Linked DNA regions of Struthio camelus. The protein of the gene in region 2 interacts with the protein of the main gene of each other region in a pairwise test. Links are inferred from orthologs where the notes say so. Each region holds a gene or a part of one and is shown on either strand. Other genes may lie near its edges. The genes, in order: RASSF2 and RASSF5.

Region 1 (3,896 bases), on a different chromosome or scaffold from region 2:
GCCGGGGCCTCGCCGGCTGCGCGAGGCCCCCCCCACCCTGGGTGAGGAGGGAATTTGGGGGGGGGGGAGGCGTCGGGTCCCTCCAGCCGTTTCTCGCGCCAGCTGGGGCCGCGCAGCGCCGGGCACGCCGCGCTCCCGCCGTCCCGCTGCTTGCCGTCGGGCTTCCCAAAGCCCGAACGCCCTCGTGAGATGAGACGGGGCGGCGTCTAGCCTTTTTTATTTTTTTTATTTTTTTTACATTTTTAATTTTTTTTTTAAAAAAATAAAAATTTAAAAATTTTAAATTATTTTTAATTTAATTTTTAAATTTTTATTTATTTTTTTTTTTTTGGACTACCTCGCCAGTCGGCTGTTTAGCCTTTCCTCTGGCAGCCAGACAACTTGCCCGCGGCGTCTCCCTCGCTCTCGCTCATCCGAACGCTCAAAAAAACCGCCCCAAAAATCCGACCTCTGAAAGGGCCCGGACTTAAAGCCCGAGGGGATTTTTTTTTTTTCTTTTTTCACAAGGGAGGAAGTGCGGTTAAAAAAAAAAAAAAAAAAAGTGATTCGGGGGCGAAAGGTGCTCGGGGCGCGCCGGGAAAGGCCCTTCCTTGCGGCAGCTCCTGCTGCAGCTTTAAGGTGGTTTTAGCAACGGGGCTTTTCAGGCCGCGCTTAGCAAGAGCCCAGGCTTGAGCCCTGCCGGAGGTCCAGAGCTGCGGCAAACACACCTTTAACAGCGCTACAACGGGCGAAATAACTGAACCGGGTTTTTCACGCGCGGGGGACGGACCGCGTCCGGCCACGTTGCCCGCGTCCTCCGTCAGCCCTAGACGGCAGGAAGTTTTTATTAAAAAAAAAAAATTTTTTTCAAAAAAGACCCGGCTTCAGGCTTCGAAGCGCAGGGTCCGCGAGAGCGAAGCCACGCGGGAGCCGGCCGGAAGCGGCAGGGCAGGAAGGGGCCCCCAGCGCCGGCGCCTCTTTGTCTTGCAAAAGCAGAAGAGAAACCTGCCGAGGAGCAAAACGTCGCCGGACGCGCCGGAAGAGCCGCCGGAGCTCCTCCGCGCCGCCCCCAAAAACGGCCCCGAGAGCGGCTCGGCGGCGGCGGTCCGGCACGGAGCGGCCGAATCGCCCGCAACGGCGACGTCGGGGAAGCGTCGCGGGGGGGGTCGGGAAAAGGCGCCGGGATGCTGCGGCCGAGCCGGGAGCCGCCGCGAGCCCCGTTGCCCGTTTCGCTTTCGGCTCCGTCATCGCATCGCCATGCGAGGAACAGGGGCAAACGCTTCCGGCTTTGGGGGTCCGGAGGGAGCCCAGGCCGCGCGGCAGAGCGAGGGTCGGGGCGTCCCGGCGGGAACGGCGACGGCGTGCCCGGGCTCTCGGCCGGCAGCTCATCCGACGCCGAATCCTTAATAATAAAAATAACCACAATATCGGGGCCCACGTCCCTGGCGGGGGGGGGGATGCGATTTCCTCGCCGGGGCAGTGAGGTCCGCTGGCAACGAAGAGGGGTCGCGAGCCGCGGCTCCGAGGCGGGTAAGGCGTGAAAGAAAAAAGGTCTTGCTGGCAGCGAAGCAAACCAAAAAAGGGGGAAAAAAACCAAAAAAAAAAAAAAAAAAGGGAAAAAGTGCATTTTTCAGAGTGTTTTTGCTTTCCGGATGCTTTGGCAGCGCGAGCAGCTTGGGACCGGCAGCGCTGCGGTGGCCTCTCCCGCCTTCGCAAGGGACTGTGGGAATATCTCGCTCCCCCGGGAAGGACGGGGAAGCCGGAAAACCTTCGGCTCCGGGGCAGCGGGCGGCGAGCGGCAGCCCCCCCCCCCCTTCCCCGGCGCGCTCCTTGCCGCTGTCGCGCCGCGCGTAAAGCGGCCCCAACGTCCGCCCGTCCCAAGGCGCAAAAACAACCCCCCGCAGGCAATAGTTCTCCCCTTTTACACCGCAGCCCCTGTGAAGCGCGGTGCGACGGCCAGCCGGGCTGTTCTCGCCCGGAGCCGGGCCGACGACCCCGCCACGGCCGCCGAGCGACTCGCCGGAAGAGCCGCCCGCTGCTGCTTTGCCCCACGGGCGGCTTATTTTTTAAGGTTTAATGTTTAACGGGCGACTTCTCACTAATTGCTGATTTCTTTAAGCACGGAGGTGCCGGCGCTTCCATTGTTTTCTAGGGGCCCTATTGTTTGCCAGCCCAGCTGCTCCGGGAGGGGAAAGGGAGGAAAGGCAGAGCGCGCTGGGGACGAAGGGTCCCCGCCGCGATGGAGACGAGCGGCTGCGCGCGACCCCGAAGGGAAACTGAGTCCTGGACGCTGGCTCAGGGCAAGGGGACGGTCGCGCTGCCCGGTTTGACCCAGCTGCCGTCAGCGGGCTCCGCGCGGCCCGCGGGAAACGAGCTGGCGGGTCTCAGCCCGGACGGCGTCCGTCCTCGCCGAGCCACCCGCGCGCCGGGCGGCGACGATGGGGCACGTGGCCACCTCGCGTCCCACCGGCCGGGCGTCGCGTGCCGGGGCGGGCGGCGACGCTCCCGCGACGCCTCGGCCTCCCGCCGCTGCATCCCCGCGTTGGGAAAAGGGAGCGGCAAAAGCGAAGCGCGAAGTCGAGGCGGGGGGTCCCGAGGGGAGGACGAGTGCGGTGGGGACATCCCCTTTGGGGTGCCCCATCGCCGACGGGGGGGGGGGTGTGCGCCCCGTTCCCACGGTGGTGGAGCCCGTTCCCACGGGGGATGCCCCGTTCCCACGGGGTGCCCCATCCCCGGGGGACGCCCCGTTCCCACGGCGGGGGGGGTGGGTGGGGGGGGGAGCTCGGCCGCCGCCGAGCGGGTGCGCTCCCGTCGCCTGGTCCGGGCCGCCCCCTCCATTGTCCGCCCGGACAATCGCCGCCGCCGGGACGAGGCCTCCGGGGCGGCGGCGCCGCCGCGTCCTGCGCGTCCGCGGCCCCCCCCGCACACGCACCGCACCGCACCGCACCGCACCGCACTCGCTCACCCGGCCCCGGGCGCCGCCGGCCGCGCCCCGCTCCGCGCTGCTCCGCGCCCGCCCCCGTCGCATCCCGGCGCCGCCGCCCGCGTAGGGCCGCCCCCTTCGACGGGGCGGAGCGGGGCCGGCGGGGCGGAGCGGGGCGGCGCGCAGCGCGTCTCGGCGGAGGGGAGCGCGCGTCTCGGCGGGGGGAGCGCGCGTCTCGGCGGGGGGAGCGCGCGTCTCCGCGGGGGGAGCGCGCGTCTCGGCGGGGGGGAGCGCGCGTCTCGGCGGGGGGGAGCGCGCGTCTCGGCGGGGGGAGCGCGCGTCTCGGCGGGGGGGAGCGCGCGTCTCGGCGGAGGGGAGCGCGCGTCTCGGCGGGGGGAGCGCGCGTCTCGGCGGGGGGAGCGCGCGTCTCGGCGGGGGGAGCGCGCGTCTCGGCGGAGGGGAGCGCGCGTCTCGGCGGGGGGAGCGCGCGTCTCGGCGGGGGGAGCGCGCGTCTCCGCGGGGGGAGCGCGCGTCTCGGCGGAGGGGAGCGCGCGTCTCGGCGGGGGGGAGCGCGCGTCTCCGCGGGGGGAGCGCGCGTCTCGGCGGGGGGGAGCGCGCGTCTCGGCGGGGGGAGCGCGCGTCTCGGCGGAGGGGAGCGCGCGTCTCGGCGGGGGGGAGCGCGCGTCTCGGCGGGGGGGAGCGCGCGTCTCGGCGGGGGGAGCGCGCGTCTCGGCGGAGGGGAGCGCGCGTCTCGGCGGGGGGGAGCGCGCGTCTCGGCGGGGGGGAGCGCGCATCTCTCCCCCTTCCCGCGCGGCCGGGGCCACCCCGGGCCGGAGGGAGGCTGGAGGCAGGGGAGGGGGGAGGGCTGCGCCCGCGGTCCCGGGGTCGGGGGGGGGGGGGCGTGGGAACGAGGCGGAGGCAAGGGAGCGAAAGGAGGCCCCGTCTCGGGCACCCAGGTGGGCCCCGGGATTGGGATCCCAAAGGATGCCCCGTC
Region 2 (3,896 bases):
AGACACGCATCTGCTAAGCAGAGGTTTGGGGGAGCCCAACGAACCCCAAAGAGGAGCACAGAAGCACGGTTCTCTCCTTAAATCCGCTTCGGGAAAGTCTCTCTCCGTTGCCCAGGGACAACTCCAGGCTGCCGCAGACCGGCTTCTGGCCCAAGTCTTAACTCTTCACCAGAGTCCACCTTGGTTTTAAACAGTACGAAGGGGCAAAAGCTGCTGGAAAAAAATCTCAGCCAGGTATCTAGCAACGTTCTACCAAAAAGCAGCGTTAAGCCAACATCTGAAACTCCATTTACTTTGGGTAAATGAATTTTCCGCGCAGATCAGACGCGGGCTTCCCATCTGCCCTGGGACTAGTCGCTTACTGACGATTTTGGGGCCAGGAGGAAGCAGCGTGGTGACCCTCGTCTCGCCTCCCCCATTTCCCACGCACCAGGTCACGGCCCGGCACGGCCTCCCTGCTCCCCCCAGTGACGCCCCGCGGGAAAACACCGGCTTTTCTGCCGCGCGGGGCGGGAAACCTCCCTCGCCGGCCGCGGCGAAGCCCCGGGGCTCCCCCAGCGCAGCCCGCGCCCCGGCCCGCTGCCGGCCCCGCTCCTCCGCTTGCGACCTTTATTTATTTAATATATATATATTTTTTATGTATTAATTTCAGGCACCCGCTGAAACGGCTGCACCTCGCTGCGGGTCATCGGTCCGGCAGCAGCAGAGGACGCAAGCAAAAGCCAACAAGCCTGATCCTCTCCCCTCCCGTGCAAATCGGCTCCCACGCGGCCGGGTTTTTAAGCGATGGTTTAACCTTCCGGCATAGAAGTAACTCGCATCTCGACTTCTGTGGCACCAAGTAATCGTACTGATGCGCCCTGTGGCACGCACCGCAGCCTTCTCCTTGACGCTGCCTTCAGGCCGCTGTGGCTGCTACAGACCCCGCGGGACCCTCTGCGCCATTAAACAGCTGAAGACTTCCGGAGCGGACGCGGGGATTACTGCACATCCCCGATGCAGACTGCAGCGTCTAGATCCCCCCGGGCTGCTGAACCCCTCAAGGCTACGAAGCCAGCAAAGCCCACGCTTGCATCCCGCCGAGACGCAGGAGGCGTCCGCCTCGGCCTCTCCTGCTGCGGCGGGGAGGACCTGGGCTAACCCCTTCGGGAGGGAGGGAGGCACCAGGTCTCCAAAACAGAGGCCGCTTACCATCAGCAGGCTGTTCCCAAGAGGCCCCGCATCTCCGATCCGCGACGAAACGTCGTCACGCTCCAACCTCCCGCGCGCGCCCGGCTCTGCCGGCGGCGGCGGCCCCGGGAAGCGCCGCGCTCCCGACCCCCGGCCCTACCTGGCTGCAGCTCAGCATCAGGGTGCTGTCGGGCGAGAGCTGGCCCAGGGGCTGTCCCGGCCGGCGGCAGTCCAGCTGGACGAGGCTCCGGCATTCCTGGTGGCAGGTGTAGCTGCAGTCTGGGCAGGAGGAAACACAGCAGTGAGGCGCCGGCACGAGCAACGCGGCGGCGCGGGGCCAAGCGAGAAGCAGCCCCGTTCGCCCCGGACCGAGGGCCGCGGTCGGGTTATGCGTCCGCGACCGCGAGCGAAGCACGCGGACCCGTTTTGGCAGAGAGGGAAGAGCTGCAGAGCACCTGACCCAGAACAAAAATTGCTTCCGCACCCGCCGCGGAGGAAACCTTTACGCGTTGCTGCAGGGCCGCGGTTTGCACCTCGCACCCCGCCGCCCTTTCCCCTGGTCTGCTGGCAGATTAATATACAAAATAACCAAAACATTCAATTTTAGTGAGCTAGCTTGGGCAGCGGAGGAAAGCAGTCAGCGAGTGCAAACACTTTGAGGGCCGGCTGCCTTAGGGAAATGACGGCTCCACCACGGGGTCCTGCCGAAACGCCCCCGGAGAAGCCACGGACCCGTCCCGGGGCGGCAGGCGGCACCCGACCACCTCCGAGCGCGCGCGCGCTGCCCGGGTGGAATCGGGCATTTGATTTCTTTGGCCGCCGACCCGTTCTGCTGTAAGACATTAACTAGCGCGAGGTAGAAATTACACGGAAAACTTCACAAAGCCCCGGGTTAACCTTTTAAGGCGTGCGGTACCGCTTTCCGACGACGGCGGCTGCACGACCAGCATTGTCAGAAACAGCTGTTCCACTTATTTATTGCCCTATTGCTCCCCAGCCCTTTCCCTCGAAGACCCGACTTTTCCAGACCCTCTTGGCTGCAGCTAACCACCTCCTTCTGCTTTAATGACCTTACTGATCCTTTTAATTTTTAACTGCCGTATAAACAGAGTTCAATTTACTTTTACACGACCCAAAATTCCAGAGCAGTCACTGAACTGGGGGAGGGGAAAAAAAAAAGAAAACCTAAATCCCAGGCAAAGGAGTTCACGGCACAGTCAGAGACGGGATTTTGGATCTCCGGAGCACAGGAAGGTTTCAGCACTGCTCACACTGCTCTTCCCACCTCCACGGTTTGGTGAGCTCTGCACCCTGACCCAAGGCCCACGATCACTAAAAGTGGCCTTTTTTCTGGGTCATTGCTTGCAAACGTCTTGGGTTTGCAGGGAAGCAGAGGAGCATCCCCAGTTTGCTCTGGAAACGGTGATTCCCGCTCGGCAGTGCTGAGCGCCCGGGAACCAGAGGAGCTGAACCACGGCTGGGAGCCGGTGCCGGAGCGGGGAGGCACCAGCCTGCAGGGGAAACAGGGAAATCACTTATCTGACATTCATCCAGCACGAGCTGCCTACCGTTTCCTTATTCCAAGCCAGTTTGCTGGCGTAAGCCTGGGGGGAAAGCAGGGAGGGCTTTTTTTTTAATTAGACATAAGCGGAACAGTTACACAGTAATTTTAATGCATGACCTTTCGTGCAAGTGGAAGAGCCCTGTAATAGGGGACGACGGGCAAGTCTTTGCTGGAGGCACCAATCGGAGGATGCTTCAGTCGCACCTGAGCACTCGGCGGCAGCGCAGAATTGCAGCCCCGGGACGACGGAGCGGCAGCAGCATCCTGGCTGGGGGCGAGCGGCTGAAATGCTCCCTGGCACGGAAAACGGGAGGATAGAAAATGGTCCCCCGGGTCCCGGCCTAGGGATTTGGGTTCGCCCTCAGCATCCGGCTGGGCTCCCTGCCGCAGGGCCACGGCCCCAGCCCAAAAAAATGCCGGTAAAAAGGAAATTCCCAGCCCAGGGTTGCAAAAGCAGCAGGCTCCGGCAGACAGGAACGTCGCTGGAGCTTCATATAGACCACAGCAATTACGGCACACAGTTGCAGCGCGTCCCCGGATCAGGCCCATTATGGCCAGGCATTTCTTTACAGGATTAAAGTATGACACCTCCTTAGTCACTGCCACCTATTAGCAGACCTAATCACCCGGTATCTGGCAGGGAACACTAATTTTAGAAACTAAACACGGCTTTAGGATGTGGCCACGTGACGGGCTTGCCGAGAGCTGCTGCAGCAGGATGCCTCCACTTGCGCTTTGAGATAGTTTCCATTCAAGCCCAAGTGACACTTGGAAATACAATTGCTTTAAAAAAATAAAAATCGAGTCAGATCCCGACGCAGCAACAAATTTCAGGGACCGAAAGAAATTCCCCCCTAGCCATAGCTGAAGTTGGCCGGGGTGGGAACGACGCAGGGGGGGCCCAGGGAGCAGCCACATGGCCCGGGGCGAGCCAAACCCGAGCCATCAGCTGCGGCTTTCACCCCAGGAAAGACCTGCCGCCCCTGCAACGCAGCATGGAAGACGAGATAAGATCGCCCCCAAATTTGGGCCAAAAGGGCCCAAGGTCTCCTGCTGCCTCCTCCATGAGCACTTTTAAACTTTGATGTCGAGCTAAAGTTTGCAGCTCGTGCACACCTGCCCCTGCCTGGCGGGGACGGGAGGAGGCAGGACCTGCAGCATC

What was found.
Region 1: the proteins of RASSF5 (region 2) and RASSF2 interact in binary tests that used the Homo sapiens proteins (3 or more experiments, as listed by UniProt). The link is inferred for Struthio camelus from reciprocal best matches to the Homo sapiens genes RASSF5 and RASSF2.

The regions. Positions count from the first base shown.
Region 1 is NC_090968.1:2,541,238-2,545,133, forward strand, and holds the start of RASSF2 (ras association domain-containing protein 2), read right to left. Parts: upstream 3,038-3,896; 5' UTR 2,945-3,037; intron 489-2,944; exon of another isoform or gene 338-488; intron 1-337. UniProt on the Homo sapiens protein: Potential tumor suppressor. Acts as a KRAS-specific effector protein. May promote apoptosis and cell cycle arrest. Stabilizes STK3/MST2 by protecting it from proteasomal degradation.
Region 2 is NC_090965.1:7,801,004-7,804,899, reverse strand, and holds the start of RASSF5 (ras association domain-containing protein 5), read right to left. Parts: upstream 2,804-3,896; 5' UTR 2,121-2,803; coding exon of another isoform or gene 2,087-2,120; 5' UTR 1,768-2,086; coding exon 1,626-1,767; intron 1,450-1,625; coding exon 1,331-1,449; intron 1-1,330. UniProt on the Homo sapiens protein: Potential tumor suppressor. Seems to be involved in lymphocyte adhesion by linking RAP1A activation upon T-cell receptor or chemokine stimulation to integrin activation.